Linked DNA regions of Arabidopsis thaliana. The protein of the gene in region 1 interacts with the protein of each later gene in a pairwise test. Each region holds a gene or a part of one and is shown on either strand. Other genes may lie near its edges.

The links.
Region 2: the proteins of CRK10 (region 1) and AT2G18480 interact in a protein complementation assay, tested with the Arabidopsis thaliana proteins (one large-scale study listed by BioGRID).
Region 3: the proteins of CRK10 (region 1) and CAT5 interact in a protein complementation assay, tested with the Arabidopsis thaliana proteins (one large-scale study listed by BioGRID).

What each region holds. Positions count from the first base shown.
Region 1 is NC_003075.7:12,135,225-12,142,981, forward strand, and holds CRK10 (cysteine-rich RLK (RECEPTOR-like protein kinase) 10), read left to right. Parts: upstream 1-2,770; 5' UTR 2,771-2,946; coding exon 2,947-3,781; intron 3,782-3,901; coding exon 3,902-4,039; intron 4,040-4,122; coding exon 4,123-4,241; intron 4,242-4,334; coding exon 4,335-4,545; intron 4,546-4,637; coding exon 4,638-4,875; coding exon of another isoform or gene 4,876-4,876; exon of another isoform or gene 4,877-5,007; intron 5,008-5,011; coding exon 5,012-5,162; coding exon of another isoform or gene 5,163-5,222; exon of another isoform or gene 5,223-5,238; coding exon 5,239-5,556; 3' UTR 5,557-5,698; downstream 5,699-7,757. Other genes in the region: EP1 (receptor-like protein kinase-related family protein), read left to right, coding at 1-778; CRK11 (cysteine-rich RLK (RECEPTOR-like protein kinase) 11), read right to left, coding at 5,973-6,269, 6,350-6,509, 6,584-6,821, 6,901-7,111, 7,200-7,321, 7,429-7,560, 7,643-7,757.
Region 2 is NC_003071.7:8,007,522-8,014,234, reverse strand, and holds AT2G18480 (Major facilitator superfamily protein), read left to right. Parts: upstream 1-2,957; 5' UTR 2,958-2,991; coding exon 2,992-3,106; intron 3,107-3,241; coding exon 3,242-4,653; 3' UTR 4,654-5,134; downstream 5,135-6,713. Other genes in the region: PERK4 (roline-rich extensin-like receptor kinase 4), read left to right, coding at 6,468-6,713. UniProt on the Arabidopsis thaliana protein: Plasma membrane sugar-proton symporter.
Region 3 is NC_003071.7:14,742,418-14,749,019, reverse strand, and holds CAT5 (cationic amino acid transporter 5), read left to right. Parts: upstream 1-2,895; 5' UTR 2,896-3,135; coding exon 3,136-4,845; 3' UTR 4,846-5,023; downstream 5,024-6,602. Other genes in the region: SETH1 (phosphatidylinositolglycan synthase family protein), read right to left, coding at 1-53; AT2G34970 (Trimeric LpxA-like enzyme), read right to left, coding at 488-2,680; VSR5 (VACUOLAR SORTING RECEPTOR 5), read right to left, coding at 5,706-5,792, 5,886-5,992, 6,064-6,192, 6,281-6,344, 6,423-6,505, 6,586-6,602. UniProt on the Arabidopsis thaliana protein: High-affinity permease involved in the transport of the cationic amino acids (e.g. arginine, and, to a lower extent, citrulline and glutamate). Transport mostly basic amino acids, and, to a lower extent neutral and acidic amino acids.

The sequences.
Region 1 (7,757 bases):
TATCTTCCTTTTCCTTTTCTCATTCCTCACTAGCTTCAAAGCTTCCGCTCAAGATCCTTTTTACTTAAATCATTATTGTCCAAATACGACAACTTACTCAAGATTCAGCACTTACTCCACCAATCTCAGAACCCTTTTGTCCTCTTTTGCTTCCCGCAACGCCTCTTACTCCACCGGATTCCAGAACGTCACGGTGGGACAAACCCCCGACCTGGTCACCGGACTTTTCCTCTGCCGCGGAGACCTCTCGCCGGAAGTTTGCAGTAACTGCGTTGCCTTCTCCGTTGACGAAGCGTTAACTAGGTGTCCAAGTCAGAGAGAAGCTGTGTTCTATTACGAGGAGTGTATACTCAGATACTCTGACAAGAATATTCTATCGACGGCCATTACAAACGAAGGAGAATTTATCTTGAGTAACACCAACACTATTTCTCCTAATCAAAGTCAAATAAACCAGTTTATAGTTTTGGTGCAATCTAATATGAACCAAGCTGCCATGGAAGCAGCCAACAGTTCTAGAAAATTCTCTACGATAAAGACCGAATTGACCGAACTCCAGACTTTGTACGGGCTTGTTCAATGCACTCCTGATCTTACAAGTCAAGACTGTTTGAGATGTCTGACAAGATCCATCAATAGAATGCCACTTTCTAGAATTGGAGCAAGACAGTTTTGGCCAAGTTGTAATTCAAGGTACGAGCTTTACTCGTTCTACAACGAAACTACCATTGGAACACCATCTCCACCACCACCACCGTCGCCAAGCAGAGCAAATTGATGTGCTGCTTTTTACGTCGAAGTTTTGGCCAAGTTGTAATTCGTTTTGCTCTGCTTTACAAATTGACGTGTTGCTTTTTCTCTGCGTTTAAAATTGGTATCATCGAAATAAAGTAACTCAGTTTCTTACAATCAAAGAGATAAGGATTGTGAAGCAGCTAATGAGTCTTCTTATTTTGTCTTTACTTCAGTCTTCTCGTCTTTGATAGTGAATTGCTCATCTAGCTTTCTTAATCTTAGACTTGGTCAATGTTTTGGCTTTTCTCATACTAAACCAATTAATACATAAAATATTTAATTTATTTTCTATTACAATTATCTAGATATTTTTAGCTACACGTGATTGAAACGTGTCTCAAGCTACACCAACGCTCTTCCTCACAAACTGAATTCGTCGTCGATAGTGGTTGCTCTTGCTATCTTGATGTTTACTTCGTCTGATCGTTGAACTGGCCCGCTGCAACATTCTGAGTGTTCCAAGTGATTATTCTAGTTGTGCGTAACACCGTAACAGTAAAAATGAGCTAAGGAAAGCGAGATGCAAGGGAGAACCAACAGAAGCATAAGTTTTTCCTCTGTTATTACTAATGGAAAAAAACTTTCTTTTTCATTTTCTAATTCCTTGTCAGATTTCTCAGCTTCTCTTCTTTTTGTTTTGTGTAAGACTTGGTCGGAGTCTTAGATTACGCTGATGATTAAAAACTACTAAAAAAGAAAAAAAAAAGAATATTACGCAAATGTTCTCGATGCATTGACCAAGTCCTCTTCTGGTTCTGGCTCCATTTTCACATGCAGGCCCATAACCAATTTTAACGAGATTTGTTGCATGAAAAGCCGATTGTTTTTCCTTGGCAGTAACGAAAAAAAATTAGTTACTTTTTAAAAACTAGGGTTTTGAATAATATCATTAAAATCAAATAGAACGAACTAGGGTTTTGGCATCATACACCGCCTCATTCAATTATTAACAAAGCTGAGTCTTCTTCACGGAGAAATCACGGCTGAGCTAGGTCTCATATACCTTGCATCAATATCTTGGGCCTTTACTAGGATCGGAGATACATCAAACATAAAATACTTCTCGGTTTTATTTTCTCTTTCCTTATGTATATGTGAATGCCTTTAAAAATTTTGATTGCCTTTTTTCTCGTTTTGGAATAGTCATGAGAAGCTGAGAACCAAAAAGGAAATATTTCTCACCTTTGCAACTAGCTAGATGGAGCTTATGGATGCAAAATTCGTTTTAAAACACATTGTATTCGGATGATGTCAAAATATTTCACATTCATATAGCAAATTCATGTTTATATATTCCGATATTAACTTTAAATATTAAAACTTATATGCTGTAGATTCATATCCGGGTGAAAACACGAAAGGACTTATGATGGAACCATTATATGGAACGACGTCATGTGGAATATCAAGTTATTTAACTTCTCGCGAGTAAGACTATAAAAAGTAATAGAATAATTAGTAACTAACAATATCAGATAACGATAGGCAGATGATTTGGTAATACTATTTTAGTATCACTACATCACAATAACCATACTAGCATATACGATATACAAATTAATAAATTATCGTGCTTAAAACAAAAACCTATTATCAACCAATAATTTCTTCGCATCAGTGGCGACAATTTTTTCAGCCCCAGAATGATTCTTTGAAGAATAGTCAACAAAGATTCCTAATTTCAACAATTCTGTTCAAGGAAAAGTACGAAACAAATTCTACTGCTAGCTAGTTTCTCTCATGTATATCTAAATTCTATTACTAGTAATTAAGATCTTTGAAATCATGCCAACTGCTACATTTATTTTCTCTTGAAAATCCCAACTACCTTTTTTTTGATCAAAAAAAAAAAAGACTTTAGAGTTCAAAGCTTGAATTTAGAGTTATTATGTTTTAAATTTTGACAGTTTTGATAATTTTCTTCATTTTAAAATGATTTTATATTTTCCGTAATTTTTTTCTATATTTCATATATTAAAAAAATAAGTAATGGATTAGTAGCTAAACACAAGAAGTTGGACAAGACCCGACAATTTAATACGAGACGCGTTGACCTTGACCTTGACTTTTCGTCAGCACAAAACGTTATCTACGGTAGTCACTGAGAGAGAACAAACAATCAAATTTGTTTCATATATCACTCAAAGCTTGATGAGAAGAAACACAGATCAAGAAAGCCCAATTATGTCTTATTACTCCTCTTTCTTCTTCCTTTTCCTCTTCTCCTTTCTCACGAGTTTCAGAGTTTCTGCTCAAGATCCCACTTACGTATACCACACCTGTCAAAATACGGCAAATTACACAAGTAACAGCACTTACAACAACAATCTCAAGACCCTTTTGGCTTCTCTTTCTTCCCGCAACGCTTCCTACTCCACCGGATTCCAAAACGCCACCGTCGGCCAAGCTCCAGACAGAGTCACCGGACTTTTCAACTGCCGTGGAGATGTCTCAACGGAAGTTTGCCGTAGATGCGTCTCCTTTGCCGTCAACGACACCTTAACTCGGTGTCCTAACCAGAAAGAAGCCACACTTTATTACGATGAGTGTGTACTTAGATACTCTAACCAGAATATTCTCTCGACACTAATAACCACCGGTGGAGTTATCTTGGTTAACACCCGGAATGTGACATCTAACCAACTAGACCTGTTAAGTGATTTGGTTTTGCCTACTCTGAACCAAGCCGCCACCGTAGCCTTGAACAGTTCCAAAAAATTCGGTACGAGAAAAAACAATTTTACTGCGTTGCAGAGTTTCTATGGACTGGTTCAGTGCACACCTGATCTCACGAGACAAGACTGTTCGCGTTGTCTCCAACTGGTCATCAATCAAATACCTACTGACAGAATTGGTGCAAGAATTATTAATCCGAGCTGTACTTCAAGATACGAGATCTACGCGTTTTACACCGAATCCGCCGTTCCACCACCACCACCACCACCGTCAATTTCTACTCCTCCAGTTTCAGCTCCTCCGCGATCTGGTCAGAGCTCTGTTTTTTTCCTCTGTTTTTTTTTTTTGCCCTGATTTCTTGAAATTGGCAAAACCAATATAGAGAGTTTTCTTCTATCTGATTTTTAAGCAAATAATCTTTGAAATGCAGGAAAAGATGGGAATTCAAAGGTGTTAGTGATAGCCATTGTTGTGCCTATTATAGTGGCTGTTCTGCTTTTTATAGCTGGTTATTGTTTCCTTACAAGAAGGGCAAGGAAGAGTTATTACACACCATCTGCATTTGCTGGTAAAGATTTCAAGTGATAAACGATCTTTAATGTCAATGCTCAGCTTGTTTTTCCTGCTTCAAAGACTTTCATTGTGTAACAGGAGATGATATCACAACAGCAGACTCACTACAGCTTGATTATAGAACAATTCAAACTGCAACAGATGATTTTGTAGAGAGTAATAAGATTGGTCAAGGTGGATTTGGTGAGGTTTACAAGGTAAATTATAGTTCCCTTGAGCTGTGTTTTTTTTTTCTTGAAATTTTAAGCCAACACTTTTGGATAATGGGATGATGCTGATGAAAACAACAGGGTACTTTATCGGATGGGACTGAAGTTGCGGTGAAGCGACTATCAAAGTCATCAGGACAAGGTGAAGTAGAGTTCAAGAACGAGGTTGTTCTTGTTGCAAAGCTACAACATAGAAATCTGGTTAGACTTCTTGGGTTTTGTCTAGACGGAGAAGAAAGAGTACTGGTCTACGAGTATGTGCCCAACAAAAGTCTTGATTACTTCCTCTTTGGTTAGTTGCATTTAATGCTTTGTTTCAATGATTCTTGATACTTGGGGTTACGAATGTTTAGAGATCTCATTGTGATTTATGGATGTGGACAGACCCTGCAAAGAAAGGCCAGCTGGATTGGACTCGACGATACAAGATTATCGGTGGAGTTGCTCGAGGGATTCTGTATCTTCATCAAGACTCACGACTCACAATCATACACCGTGACCTCAAAGCCAGTAACATTCTCTTGGACGCGGATATGAATCCTAAAATTGCAGATTTTGGAATGGCTAGGATCTTTGGATTGGACCAAACCGAAGAGAACACAAGCAGAATAGTTGGTACCTAGTAAGTCTTCCTCATAACTTCTCATAAGTTGAAGTTTTCTGAACATTCTTTTGTTAACATAGTTTTTGTTGTGGGTTTATAAGTTGAAGTTTTCTGAACATCCTTTGGTTAACATAGTTTTTGTTGTGGGTTACAGTGGTTACATGTCTCCCGAGTATGCAATGCATGGTCAGTACTCAATGAAATCTGATGTCTATAGCTTCGGAGTGTTAGTTCTTGAGATTATAAGTGGCAAGAAGAATAGCAGCTTCTACCAAACAGATGGTGCACATGACTTGGTCTCATATGTAAGTTTTAAACCTATCAAGTTCCATATTTACCTGAACATAGTTGCAAGTGTTGATTGATTGAATAATATTCTAGGCTTGGGGGCTTTGGAGTAACGGGCGACCATTAGAACTCGTGGATCCAGCTATTGTAGAAAATTGCCAAAGGAATGAAGTTGTTCGATGTGTCCATATCGGTCTTTTATGTGTTCAAGAAGATCCTGCTGAGCGTCCGACGTTGTCAACCATTGTTCTGATGCTCACTAGTAACACTGTGACTTTACCCGTGCCACGGCAACCCGGTCTTTTCTTTCAGAGTAGAATTGGAAAAGACCCGCTTGATACAGATACAACGAGCAAATCTCTTCTAGGGTCTGTTGACGATGCATCCATCACAGATATACATCCTCGATGATGATGAGTTTTTCCCTTCATACCTGATTCCTGAATCTATTGGTGTTGAAAATAAGTTAAAAACTTCTTTTGTTATAGAATGTTTGTATTGTAATTGTAACCACAAGCAAGTATAAGATATATACCATTTACACGTTTCTCCATGAAGACGTAACAGTGACTTTTCCCTCCAAATTAAGCTTACACAACGATCTAGCAGGTAATTTGATTCAGCATGAAGAGAGTAAAACCAGTAATCGAGAAACGATTCTTAAAGAACTGTGAACTGTTCATAAGCATTTTACAGTGGACACTGTACAACATACAATTACAGATAAACCTGCTATGTTTCTTATGTCCGTGGACAAATAATATAAATGTCATCTGACCATTTTTCTGTTACAACTTTTAAGCTATGATGAGGAACCACATCAATTTTTACGAACTAAATGAGGAAGACTTGCTTGTATACTGATCAGACTCTGATCCTTCAGATACCAGTTTCAGTTGCCTGCTTCGTGGGAAAAATCCCGGTAGGCGAGGCACTGGTAGAGTAATTGTGTTACTAGTCAGCATTAAGATGATTGTTGATAACATTGGACGGTCTTCTGGATTTTCTTGAACACATAACAGCGCGATATGGATGCACCTAGTGACTTCATTACTCTGATAATTCCTTCCAAAAGTTGGATCCACCAGCTCTAATGGTGACTTGTTTCTCCAAAGCCTCGAAGCCTAATACAATGAACAATTAAGTACCTTGGTCATATGTTTTAAAATGTTAAATTGTTGAAAGTTGAGGACTTTATGCTCACATAAGTGACCAAGTTTCCTGCAGTACTAGTTTCATCCATCTGGTAGACGCCGCTGTTTTTCTTGCCGCTTATAATCTCAAGAACTAAGACTCCAAAGCTATAAATGTCAGATTTCATGGAGTATTGACCATGCATCGCATACTCGGGAGACATGTAAGCGCTGAAAAACATACAACACGGGTTAATATGCAATAGAAAATGGTTTAGTGTTCAGCTACTACGAGCAGAACTTACTAGGTTCCAGCAATTCTGTTCGTGTTTCCTTGAGTTTGCTCCACTCCAAAAATAGTTGCCAATCCAAAATCTGCAATTTTTGGGTTCATGTCTGCATCTAAGAGAATGTTGCTGGCTTTGAGGTCACGATGTATGATTTTGAGCCGTGAATCTTGATGAAGATATAGAATCCCTCGAGCAATTCCTCCAATGATCTTGTATCGCCGGGTCCAGTCTAGCTGACTTTGCTTTTCCGGGTCTGCACATATCGACAATCAATCAGTATAAAGCTGAAGCAGGATCCTTTGAATAAGAAAAATTATTGACAGGAACCATACCGAAAAGAAAGTAGTCAAGGCTTTTGTTGTGGACAAATTCATAGATCAGAATCTGTTCCTCTCTTTCCAAACAGAATCCAAGAAGTCTAACCAGATTCCTATGTTGAAGTTTTGTCACAAGAACAGCCTCGTTCCTGAACTCCCTTGTGCCTTGTCCTGACTTTTTCGACAGTCGCTTCACAGCTACATCAGTTCCGTTAGAAAGCTTACCCTACGTACAATGAATGAAACAAACATTGTTGGTTATTTCCATAAACCAATATGAACTTAGAAAAAATGGAAAACAGAGACCTTGTTACCTTGTAAACCGCACCGAATCCACCTTCACCAAGCTTATTACTTGTTGAAAACTTGTTAGTTGCGGCTTCAATTGTCTTAAAATCGTATACCAATGAATCTGTAGTTGAAATATCACTTTCAGCTGCAAAGAATGGGTGTATTAGTTTCGTGTTTCCCGTCTTGGCTACGGGAGTATACATGCTGATAACGAAAGGAAACAATAAAGAGGTAAAACACAAAGAAACTAACATTCAGTCTTAGTTCTTTGGTAGGATTTTCTTCTCCGGAAAAGAACAAATCCTAAAACCAGCAGTATCAAGATGGCAATAACAGTGGGAACGGTGATCGCCACAACAACTCCAGCTGAGATTCCTTTGCTATCTTCTCACAACACATAGAAAAACAATGTCATATATTTAAGTTTTTTTGTTACAATGATAGTTTTCTCAGGTGGAAGACTAACCATTGTTGGTCGGGTTGTCCTGATCACCTGCAGGTTGTGGCACAGTCACAGGAGGTTCTGGAGGAGGAGAAGCCACCGTAAGATTATCAAAAGCGTTAGAATATGTATACAAATC
Region 2 (6,713 bases), on another chromosome or scaffold:
GAAGTTATAGATAACTAATAAAGTGTATATCAAAGTTTTTTTCAATGTTTAAAAAGACGCGAACACATCTAACTGGAAGTGTGCCTCTTGTCTTACGGATGTCCTTCTAGTAGAACATCTATAAAAATCTGAAAATCTTTCGGAAAAACAAAAAAAAAAACTTACAAATTGTTTTCCATCTAATCACGAACTTGATCATCAGTTCTCGTGATGTTGGAAACAAAAACTCAAAATATCATCACTTCATGTGCATTTGTACTAACACATGCATATCAGTGATTCGTTGGGTTCTTCAATTTTAGTAAAAAAGTTTTTTTTTTATCAAAACCATTTCTAAAAAAATTCAATTAGAAATTACGATAATTTTGACAAAATAAGGGCTACTTTCATTATTTATTATTTATGAATTTTGAAAAAATCCTAATGTGTTGACATTGTTCAAATAAAGAACTAATAAAGTTTTAGATGGAAAAAAAAAAGAACTACGTGTTTTTTTGGTGAAACTTTTGAATAAAGTAATAAGACCTACCCATATGATGATCTAACCTACCCAAGTTATCACTTGTATCGGAAAGTCCCCAAACTTATCTTTCTGGTTGTGTCGGCCAAATGTATCCCAACTAATACACACAATTTCACTTTGAATTTCTCTTTCTCTTCTTCCAGAAGATTTCTCCTTCTATCGTTGACCTAAATGATTGATCTGTCTTGGTTATTTTGTCACACGATGTGTATGCCAATCAGCTTTGGACTACAATGCATGTTAAGGTTCGTACTAAAAAAAACTCAGCATGAAGAATGTTGGTTCGAGGACTTAAATTCTGATCTGACGTAGCTAGTCTATCGATTATCTGCCTTTAAACCAAAGCTTTTTGGATTAAAGATAGGTAATCCGTGCGTTGAAGGTATATCATTTTCTTACCCAACAAATTCATTTAACCTCATAGTATAAATTTCGTTTGGTTTTGATTTTTGATAGCGACAATATATGCCTTTTCAATTAAAAGTGAAAAGAAAAAAACGCATGCCATTTACTTGTTTGAGTAAGTTACTCATTATGGTATATGCTCTTCAAGAAAACAAATCAAATACTACTTTTTCGTCACGTATCTTTCTTTTTCAGCTCACCAAAATATAACTTTCAAGGAATCATATCAAAACTTTACTATTTACATGGATTTTGTGCATTTGCATAATTTACGTATACAAATCCCAAAGGTTAGCGTTTTTGCCAACTATATATATAGATACTAGCTAGATGATTATCCAGATTTACTTCTTCTTTTTTAATAATATATATATCGTATATCCATTAAATGTGTAAACCTTTACTTCTAACAGATTTAGAGATCTATAAAACGTATACACTAAGAATTATTTAGAAAAACTAGAAGTTTGAAATAAGTTATTGTCTCTCTAATACACCAATATTGCTTCTTATGTTCATTACAATTTTACAAATGTATGCTTACCAGATTACAAAAGCATGTTGAAAATTCGAAGTTATGATACCAATTTATTAGTAGCGAATGTAAAAAAGACTAAACATAAATTGGACGTAGTCCACCAAGATATATAATGTTATAATTAGCGGGGTAAAATATTGATTTAATACTGGAGGCGTAATAACATCTTGTTTCAGAATTCCAACAACGTACGAGTAAGAAAAACAAAAATACAGTTCTCAACAGACTAATTGGACGTAAAACTCTAGGCCAGCCAAACTGACAAAGCATATGACAAAAATATAAATGATAGAATTGGCAATTTCAGAATTTTCCATCGATCATGCTAAAATGAACATTAGTTGGAACCCAAAAACATTTTTGTTTATCTTGCACATACAAACAGAGCTATAGGTTACGTTATGACTTATGATGTTCTGATTTATTGATCAAATCACACATCAGTTTTTTCCCAACAGATATCAATTTCATTATGTAATGATACATATAGTCTGATAGTATTATTCGTCTGTTGAGAACAACGGCTTTTTGTTGGATACAAGTTTTTTTGTTTCGTCAAAACAAGTTTAATTTTGGACTTCATCACTTCAATAAGAAAAAGAAACCAACTGAAAATAAATGCACCGTATAAATTTAGTTCACCAAATTATATAAATGTGGAAAAGAATCTTTAAAGGTTACGCCACTATTGAACATAGATCAGGAAAATGCCGAAAGTGAAGAAGATGGCGACTTTTAACTTACAATATTAGCAATATTTTTGGTCATATCGTATTAAAATTGATGACCTACCATTTAAAAATGGTGGATATAACTTCTTCTAGCATATGTTACTATAATGAATGATCAATTCTGAATTCTCATACATATGACTTCACAACGGAAACTTTTTGCTTTAGAGTTTCATAAATAGTTTACGACATACAATTTTTCATGCATTCCACTCACGAGAACAACTTTATACGTAACATGCAATTGCAAAACTACAATAATCGGGTTTACATGTAACATAGCATCTAATAAAAATCTTCACTTCCTTTATTAAAAAATAATAAAAATTGAAAACAAGAAGACCAAGTTCAAGTTCAACGAAGGTCGTCACAAATTATTTGAAGACCGTGTGCGAAACCATTTTTTAAACTCATTGTAACCTTTTAATTATTATTTTAACTTACGTATGTATTGGTTAAAACTTAAAACACTTGCCTGATTACACTACTTTTTTTTTTTGTTGGAAATCTTTTCAATTTATTTTGCTCGATATACTTCTCAGGTTGTATACGTCTAAATCTTGAGGAAAATTCATATCTTGCAGAAATATAATTCTCGTACCAGAATACGTGGGCACCCACAAACACTGTGGAACAACAGTAGAAGTTTTTGATCGTCATTGTTCCACTATGGATGCAAGTGGTGGACATATATAGTTATGTGTATATATATACTAGTAAATGCACACAATCGATATAACAAGTTATTCTAAAATTTAACCCAAAAAAAAAAAAAGAGAAGAAAAAGACTCAACATGGTTCATGCTGATGGTCATAATTTTCCCGGTTCGGATCCAAACCCTCATATGAACAAGTTCGCTTTCGGGTGTGCCATTGTTGCTTCCATCATTTCTATCATCTTTGGATATGGTAACATACTAACATTCTCTACATATCAAACAAAAGTTTTCTACATATATCATATAAAGATATATTCAATGGAATTATATTAATGATTTTATATTAACGAATATTTTTTTTTTTGTAATGGTGTGTTGTCCTTAGATACGGGAGTTATGAGCGGAGCTCAGATATTTATAAGAGATGATCTAAAAATAAACGACACTCAGATTGAAGTTTTGGCCGGAATCTTGAATCTTTGTGCACTCGTCGGATCACTAACGGCGGGGAAAACGTCTGACGTCATCGGCCGACGTTACACCATAGCTCTCTCCGCCGTGATATTCTTAGTGGGCTCAGTTCTTATGGGTTACGGCCCAAACTATCCTGTTTTGATGGTCGGACGATGTATTGCCGGAGTTGGTGTAGGGTTTGCTCTCATGATAGCTCCGGTTTACTCTGCCGAGATATCCTCTGCGTCACATAGAGGCTTTCTCACTTCTCTACCTGAGCTTTGTATTAGTCTTGGGATTTTACTAGGCTATGTCTCGAATTACTGTTTTGGGAAACTGACGTTGAAACTTGGATGGAGATTGATGCTTGGAATCGCAGCGTTCCCGTCTTTGATATTGGCTTTTGGGATTACAAGAATGCCCGAGTCGCCGAGGTGGCTTGTGATGCAAGGTAGGTTAGAAGAAGCCAAGAAAATAATGGTTTTGGTATCCAATACGGAAGAAGAAGCTGAAGAACGGTTCAGAGACATCTTAACCGCTGCGGAAGTAGATGTGACAGAGATAAAAGAAGTTGGTGGCGGCGTTAAGAAGAAGAATCACGGTAAAAGTGTTTGGAGGGAGTTGGTGATAAAACCGCGACCTGCGGTGCGTTTGATCTTGATAGCGGCCGTTGGGATACACTTTTTCGAGCATGCGACGGGGATTGAGGCCGTCGTGTTGTACAGCCCGAGAATTTTCAAGAAAGCCGGAGTTGTTTCGAAAGACAAGCTCTTACTAGCCACGGTCGGTGTAGGTTTAACTAAGGCCTTTTTCATAATAATAGCCACTTTCTTGCTCGACAAGGTAGGTCGTAGAAAGCTCCTGTTGACCAGTACGGGTGGGATGGTCTTCGCATTGACCAGTTTAGCGGTTAGTCTCACGATGGTTCAGCGATTTGGGCGGTTAGCGTGGGCATTGAGTTTAAGCATCGTCTCTACGTATGCATTTGTAGCTTTTTTCTCCATAGGGCTTGGACCTATCACATGGGTGTACAGCTCCGAGATATTCCCGTTGAGACTTAGGGCTCAGGGAGCGAGTATAGGTGTTGCGGTTAATAGGATCATGAACGCGACGGTCTCAATGAGTTTTCTGTCGATGACGAAGGCGATCACGACAGGGGGCGTGTTCTTCGTATTCGCCGGAATAGCGGTGGCGGCATGGTGGTTCTTCTTCTTTATGTTGCCGGAGACGAAAGGATTGCCATTGGAGGAGATGGAGAAGCTTTTTGGTGGTGGGGGTCCTCGTGGTGATCGTGACGGACTTGAGATTCAAACTAAAACCATCTCTATTGGGGGTTTCTCATAAGAGTTTCTCACAATTAAAAAAATAAAAATAATAAAAATGAAGGAGAGAGAGTGTAGAAAGATTCTCAGAAACTTTGAGATACTCTCTACAACCCATCATGACAATTCGCTTCTCACTATTGGTTCAACTTTTTAACAAAAATATTTTTTTAATCAAAAATTCAAATTATAATATAATATTAATTTTTTTTTGTTTGAGAAACTTTGTGGGTTTCTCATGGATGGAGATGCCCTTAGAGAGTCAATAATTAGGTTAGATTATCATGGCTATGTAGAATAATTTTTAAATCCAACATGATTTGGCATATCTATTATAAGGTGTGATTTTTTGTAAAGGACAAAGTATGATTTTTATATTCATCCCTTTTTACTGTAGCTAATGAGAATCTACAACCTAATAAAAAACAATAACAATTATTTAATTATAAAATCTAATAGTTCACCAAAACAAAATCATATATCGGTTTGGATTTATAAGAGAGGGTTAAAGTTTAAATTTTATGATTAAACGAAGTTAAATACCAGTTTAGGTTTATAAACGATTTTAGATTTTAGAATCAAACGAGGTTAAATGTCGGTTTAGAGTTATAAACGGGTTTGGATTTTACAATTAGATGAGGTTAAATGTCGGTTTGAGTTTTAGAAAGAACGATTTAAGTTTAGATTTTACAATTAATCGAGTTTAAATGTCGGTTTGGATTTACAAAATAGAATTAGAGTTTAAATTTTGTAATTAAACAAAATTATATATCGGTTTGAGTTTATGAAATAGTGGTTAAGATTATAGATTTTATAATTAAATGAGTTTATTTATTTATTAGGTGACATATTCTAATTGGCTGAAAGAGGTGAATGAAAAGGTGAACCAAGAATTGTTCGATTTTTAACTACACATCTAATTCTAGACTCTAGAGTATGCATATTAATGTTTCCAGAGATCAGAAAGTGCTTAAACAAAACATATTGATCACTTCATGGTTTTTAAGTCTTAGTTTAATTGATGGAAAGGAGAGGATTACCAATACTGAAGTAGAGTCATAGTTGATATTTGAGGGGTGAGAACCCTGAGATTCGTAAAGAAATCGATGAACTTGTGCGTGAAGAAATTAGTTTGATCATGCTCAAAGGTCTAAATAATAAAAAACCTTGACATTTGTTCCCAATTGAAGTCCTTTAATTGTGAGAAAAATTATGTTGCTCTAGAGCAATATTGAAGAAAAAGGAGACATATCACATATGGGAAGACCTGAGGAGCAATGATTTGATTTGACGGACCAAAATAAACCAGAGATTTTCCTGACAAATTAAGGTAATAATGCATGAGGTTACGTGGAAATGAATCAACAATCGTTAGCTCCTAATATCACGGAGCCAAAAAGAGAAAAATTAGACCGGAGATTATTACAATTAGTAACTAACACAAAACTGTTATTAAGACAGAAAGAGAGAGAAGAGGCATGTTTCTCGGAATGAAGACAGAGCAAATCTCAATCTTCCTTTTTCACCTTATTCCTATTATCATTTTCTGATCAAATGTTCAAAAACTCTCTCCCCTTAATCTCTTCCTCTAAGGTACACACTTTCATGCTAATCTCTTAACTAATTTTGTATTAATCTCTTATATTTAGCATTACCTGTTTTGTTAACGATCTAACGAACATAATAAGACAAGAACTTGTTCCAACGTTAACACCATTTTGATTATGATCTGTTTTTTCTACGTGTTGTTGTTGTTGTTCTCAGAATAATTGAGTGGTTAAGGGAGAGAGGAGACGGAGAGTTTTTATTTTCGTTACCGGAAAATTTTGATCTCCGATGGCTTCTTCTCCTGAATCTGCTCCTCCAACAAACTCCACCTCTTCTCCATCTCCACCGTCTAATACCAATTCAACCACCTCTTCTCCGCCGGCTCCGTCTCCTCCTTCTCCTACACCTCCTCAAGGAGACTCATCATCATCGCCACCTCCTGATTCCACATCTCCACCAGCTCCACAAGCTCCTAACCCTCCTAATTCCTCTAATAACTCTCCTTCCCCTCCGTCACAGGGCGGTGGAGGAGAA
Region 3 (6,602 bases), on another chromosome or scaffold:
ACTTTCCTCCATTTGGGTCCCGGAATTGAGTCTCCGGCGAGATTACTTTCCATTGGGGAGGTTCCGGATTCTTGGATCCAAAATTAGGGTTCTTACGTCACCTCGATCAATTCAAGTTAGAGCGAGGGATGCGAAAGCAAACGATTCGTCCAAAGAGGAAGCTTGAATCGAGAGGAAGGAGGATCTAGTGAATTTGTGATGCTATTTTTTGAAATAAGAAAAAGTAGAGGGAGTAATTGGCAAATAAAAATTAAGAGATTTAGTACTCAAGTAAAATTATATATCAAACGATACATGTGAGCAAACTCGTGGATGAGAAAGTATCTCATGAAGCAACAGAACAGAAGACATGAAGAAAAAAAGATTATTGATGATGACAGAACAAAAAACAGAGTAGCTCTTAAAAGTAAATGATCAATCAAAATGTGAGGCCATCAACTGCATAATGAACAACTAGTTGAGAGCCATCGAACTCAGGTATACCAATTCAGTTATCTTCTTCTTCTTCTTCATCTTCATCATCTTCATCTTCCTCCTCAGATGCTTCTTTGAGCCACTGTATGAATGTATCACATTGTTTCAGATATACTTTGTCAGCTTCATCCGCGCCTGCCTTCTCTTCCTCCCATCTCAGTATCGCATCTTCTTGCAACACGTCCTTGTCATATAGAAGATGTAGAATTTGTGTGAACAAAGGGCCCAACTCTTTGTGAGATTCCTGACACATCTCTTCAAATTTCATGATCACTTCTATCTGTTCATCAATTTTCTTTGCGTAGAAGCCAAGAAGATCCTTCCATTTTGTAATGATACTCGCTGCGTTTTTATACAACTCACTACCAGAATTGTGTGGAGTATCAAGTGCCAGTTTTATCATCGAGAAAAATGTTGCTCCAGCACAATCTGCAGATTCCATGTTGAATGACAACCGCAGCCCGTTAATCTCCATAGTTACAAGGTCCACTTTGATATTCTCTTCAACAGCCCTTAAGACGGTCCCTTCAACCTCTTTCTCAAAGTAATAGTAATCATCATTGGGATCATTCACATCAGTGTTAATACTATCAGCATCAGATTTCAACTCTCCAGAAGTCGGGACGACACTTTCATCATCTGTGTCATCATCGTCTATGGCCTGAGTAATCTCAGAAAGTTTATCCTTGGGGATTGGTGCAACAGAATGCTTCCACTCCTCATCATGAGCCCCTTCACATACTTCCCATATGTAACCTGCTCCATCAGGACCAAGCTCAGATGCTTTGGACTCCATTTGCAGATTTAGGCCTGACAAATGATCCGCAGTCCCGCTGCTACTATCAGCATATTCCAGCTCTTCATCACTGTCTTCTGTCGTTGGCTGTTGAAGTAGGGAAACCTTTGAGTATGCAGGCACAACAAAGTCCCGTCCAACTACAACATTGAAAGACAAAACAACACCAGGCTGCAGAACAGCTCCTGCTCTGATTTTCACCCCATCACACACAATAGCGTTCCTTATCTCACACCCATCTTCAATAGTAACATTGTTCCATATGTATGAGCCTTCAATCACCACATTTGATCCAATAGAGCATCCATTCCCAATAACCGAGTTCATGATTTTATCCCCATGACCAATTTTCGTACCGTATCCAATGACAGTAGAAGCTCCAACATCAGCAGATCGTGATTGAACTACATCAGAAGCCTTGTATATCCCTTGTCTCCCGAGCTTTAGAGGCCGATTTCCACTGAAATTAATATCTGGTACATAAGGATATGTCCACCTCTGAATTATATCCTTGCTAACAGTGTCATAGCTTCGGAAATTATCAATCCTACCAGCATAGCTCGAGTGAATCTCATGAGTGAAGATTTTATAACCCATAATATCATCCACAAGCACACCTTTGACAAAATGACGACGCAGATGTTGATAATCAAAGTTATCCTCAAAGAGACTAAGCACTTCAGGAGAACATATGTCAATGTAGCAATCCTGCATATCATTGCATACTAAAACAGAAGGATTAGTATCCAACAATGACTTCTCTAAGCAAACTGACCCACTTGGATGATCAATCTTATCTTCCTCGTAATGAAGAAGCTGCTTTGTCAAAGGATCAACAGCAATGAAAAGCTGATCTGTTCCTAATCTTGACTGATGCGTAAGTGGAGAAGATTTAGACTGCTTAATAACCATAGTCATAATAGCTTTCTCATCTTTCTTCTTCCTCTCTCTATGCTCTTGAATCAAATCAGCAAGTGGCATATTACTCACAGTATCTCCACTAACAAGAACGAAATCACCTTGAATCTGAGACGTCTCTGTCTGTTGTTCATACATGTAACGCAAAGCATCTCCAGCACTGATGGATTTGTGCGACTCAATCGTTCTCACAAGCAAGTTTGGATGCGAATACCACTCGGATTTCTCCAGATATTCGATAACCTGCATCGAATGAGCACAACAGAAGACGAAAACCTCCTCTATTCCAGCAGATTCGAGCCATGCCAATGTGTAATCAATCATCGGAACATTAACTATCGGTAACAGTACCTTTGGGCGTTCTAGGGTTACGGGACGAAATTTCGTGGCGAAACTGTCGGCAAGAAGAATTGCTTGCAATCGGTGGCGACTCTGTACCTCCGCATCCTCTGAAACCCTAGCGGCGGCGCCGCCTTTCTTCTGAGCACCCATATCTCCTCCTCTCTCACTGATCAAATTCGATCTCACGGGAAAATCTAAAACCCTGAGTATAAACTGAAGTTAATTTATGACGAATTGAGAAAAGAGGATTAAATGTACATCTTTTAAAAATCTGAAGGACTAATATGACAATTTATCATTTTACAGCCCCCTAAGAGTAAAAAAGCACTGAATTATGTATGTTATCATCATGAATTTTCATGGTTGAAGTACTAAACGAAACGGTAAGAAGACGCCAATAAAGACAATGAGAGTTATGAAGGTGACGTAGCAAATCTAACAAGTGGGGAGGTTTATGAATGGACAGTACACAAAGTTGAGGAAAGTCAGGGAAGCTGCAAAAATACAAAAAAACTGTCTGAAACTTCTACTAGTCAAACAATGGAACAAAATTAGATGGTGTCTCTTTAGCTCTTCTTCATTAACAAATCTTTGAAGCAGAGAGAATGGAAGGTGAAGAGAGAGGATACTGGAGATGGAGCAAGAGAGATTTCTTTCCTGAGGAATCTTTCCAGAGCTTTGGTAGTTACAGAGCTGCTCTGTCTCAGACATGTTCCAGGTTCAAGAACAGGTTGGTTAGTAGGTCTGATGATGAGAACGAGCGGTTTGAGCTCAAGAAACAGAGTGAGCACGAGATGAAACGGTGTTTGACATGGTGGGATTTAGTATGGTTTGGATTCGGGTCGGTGATTGGAGCTGGAATCTTTGTCTTGACAGGTCAAGAAGCTCATGAGCAAGCAGGACCAGCTATTGTCTTGTCTTATGTTGTTTCAGGTCTTTCTGCTATGCTCTCTGTCTTCTGCTACACGGAATTCGCTGTGGAAATCCCTGTGGCTGGTGGTTCTTTCGCCTATCTACGGATTGAGCTTGGGGATTTTGCGGCGTTCATCACTGCAGGGAATATACTTCTTGAGAGTATTGTTGGAACTGCAGCTGTTGCTAGAGCCTGGACTTCATATTTTGCAACTCTTCTGAATCGTAGCCCGAACGCTCTACGGATCAAAACAGATCTCAGTTCCGGTTTTAATCTCTTGGACCCAATAGCTGTTGTTGTTATAGCCGCTTCAGCTACAATTGCATCGATCAGCACAAGAAAGACTTCATTGCTCAACTGGATAGCTTCTGCTATCAACACTTTAGTGATATTTTTTGTTATAATCGCTGGTTTTATCCACGCCGACACATCAAATTTGACTCCATTCTTGCCTTTTGGACCTGAGGGAGTGTTCCGAGCAGCTGCAGTTGTGTACTTTGCATATGGAGGATTTGATAGCATAGCAACAATGGCTGAAGAAACCAAGAATCCATCAAGAGACATACCAATCGGGTTACTCGGTTCAATGTCGATAATAACAGTGATATACTGCTTGATGGCATTATCCTTGAGTATGATGCAGAAGTATACAGATATAGATCCAAATGCAGCTTACTCAGTAGCGTTTCAGAGCGTTGGAATGAAATGGGGAAAGTACTTGGTGGCACTTGGTGCTCTCAAAGGGATGACCACAGTTCTTTTAGTAGGAGCATTGGGACAAGCGAGATACGTTACTCACATCGCACGGACCCACATGATTCCGCCTATATTTGCCCTTGTCCATCCCAAAACAGGAACACCGATAAACGCTAACCTCCTAGTAGCAATTCCAAGTGCTCTCATTGCTTTCTTTTCTGGTTTAGATGTTTTGGCAAGCCTCTTATCGATAAGTACTCTCTTCATCTTCACAATGATGCCTATCGCACTACTCGTGAGGAGATACTACGTGAGACAAGATACTCCAAGAGTTCATCTCATTAAGCTCATCACTTGTCTCTTATTCGTCGTTGTTTCTTCAATGGGTACTTCGGCGTATTGGGGAATGCAGCGCAAGGGATCATGGATCGGTTACACAGTAACAGTTCCTTTCTGGTTCTTGGGAACTTTGGGGATCGTATTCTTTGTTCCTCAGCAACGAACACCGAAAGTGTGGGGCGTACCGTTAGTGCCATGGCTCCCGTGCTTATCAATAGCAACAAACATCTTTCTCATGGGATCTTTGGGAGCAATGGCTTTTGTAAGGTTTGGTGTTTGCACTTTAGCCATGTTACTATACTATTTCCTGCTTGGTCTTCATGCAACATTCGATATGGCTCATCAGCAAATTGTGCCAAGAACATAACAACTATGGAAAACAGAGAAGAAATGTAACCTCTGAAAAGGTCTCTTCCTTCCACCCTAGTGTTATTCTGCTTTCTTCATGAACTGCTTCGTTCTGTATTCTCTGTAATCTGCAAAAAGTAAAGTTTGTATATATAAGAAAAGTCTTTTTCACAAGGACTCTTTATCAAAACATGAAATAGAGTTAAGTACACTGAATCCAAACTATGTTGCAAAATTGTTCTCTCAGGCTCCATTCTCGTCATTTAGAGTTCAAATCAACCAGTTTCGAAATCCTCTGCAACCTAAATTGACTTCATCCAGTTATCTCAAATCTGTTACTAAATTAGTTACATTGATCAAAATGTACAACGCAAGTGGCATTAAGATAGCAACAGCATCACAGCATTCAGAAACATAAGAAGACAAAGACTTACCAGTACGTTGACGATGAACTCTAAAGAATGAACTAATCCACGTCATTGGTCCAAATATAGGTCAAAACTCAAGGGAATATTAGCGTTTAGGGTCAGAAAAAACAAATTGAACTTGAAGGATCAGAGGAGGACGAACACTGAGCAGAGAGATGGTACTTGTATTCATATGTTTGAAAGGATATTTATTTAAAAACAGGACAGGTAAGCAAAAGCTTTCATAGCTCAGTTGGTTAGAGCACCCGTTTAGTAAGCGGGAGGTCTTGAGTTCAACTCTCAATGAAAGCAATAATCTCTTTTTTAGTTTTTAACTTACGTAATTTTAAACTTTTTGCATAAATCTTTCAAATCCTTAAATAAACGCCTCAAAATTTTGATTCTTTACAAAAAGGACCCATATAACAAGATTCAACAATCTTCATTTGAGATGACAAGAGTTCCTATATATTTACTTAAAAGAGTCTTGGTTAATGCTTTGGCTATCGAGTGGTATGTACTGAGACATAATGGACACGATCTCTGAATCCATGTATGACTGCAAAGTTGTAGTTTTAATGTATATATAAAAGGATCGTTAGAGTTTGATGCAAAGGGTAAGTCATAATAATTAGTAGCAAAGTGACATTACCTGAAGATGGTACTTGTAGAATATATAAGCACCTAAAGAGATACCCGCGATGGCGGTTAGAACCACAATTGTGAACAACCCTCTGCTTCTTGATCCACTTCTTCTCTCTGCACATGTTTACATTGAGATTTTCCTTCTAATAATATCTGAAAATAGTTTTACATCGTTTTCAACATACCGATACAAGTGTCCTCTTCTTTCATGTAGATACTATTGTTAGAACATTTGCATTCATATCCTCCCCAATTGTTCTTGCATTTGCAGCCATCACATTTACAAGCTGATTTCTCTTTGCATTCATCAATGTCTAGTTATTAGGAAGCAATAAAGATTGGTCAGAGACAATGTCAAGGAAACTCTGATGTTACTATGACAAATTGTCGAAACAATTTCACCTTCACATTTTAGACCATCTCCAAGGAAACCTAGAGGGCAACGACATCCTGATGTCTCTGAGTCCTACATCAAACAAATACAAAAGGTAAGAAAAAGTCTCAAACTTCAGCAAAGTGGAAGAAAAAGCAGCAGTCACTTAACTGAACAAGAAGAGAAAGTTAGACCCTTTCTGGTTTCAGACCAGCAGTCTCCATTGTTCATTGAACATCTCGCAGGTCCATAAGCTGTTTCACAAACTTTGTTAAGATCATTGAACAAAAATGTGCAATGAGATATATTAAAAAGAGAAGATTCAAAAACATACGTTTGCAGGAGGTATAA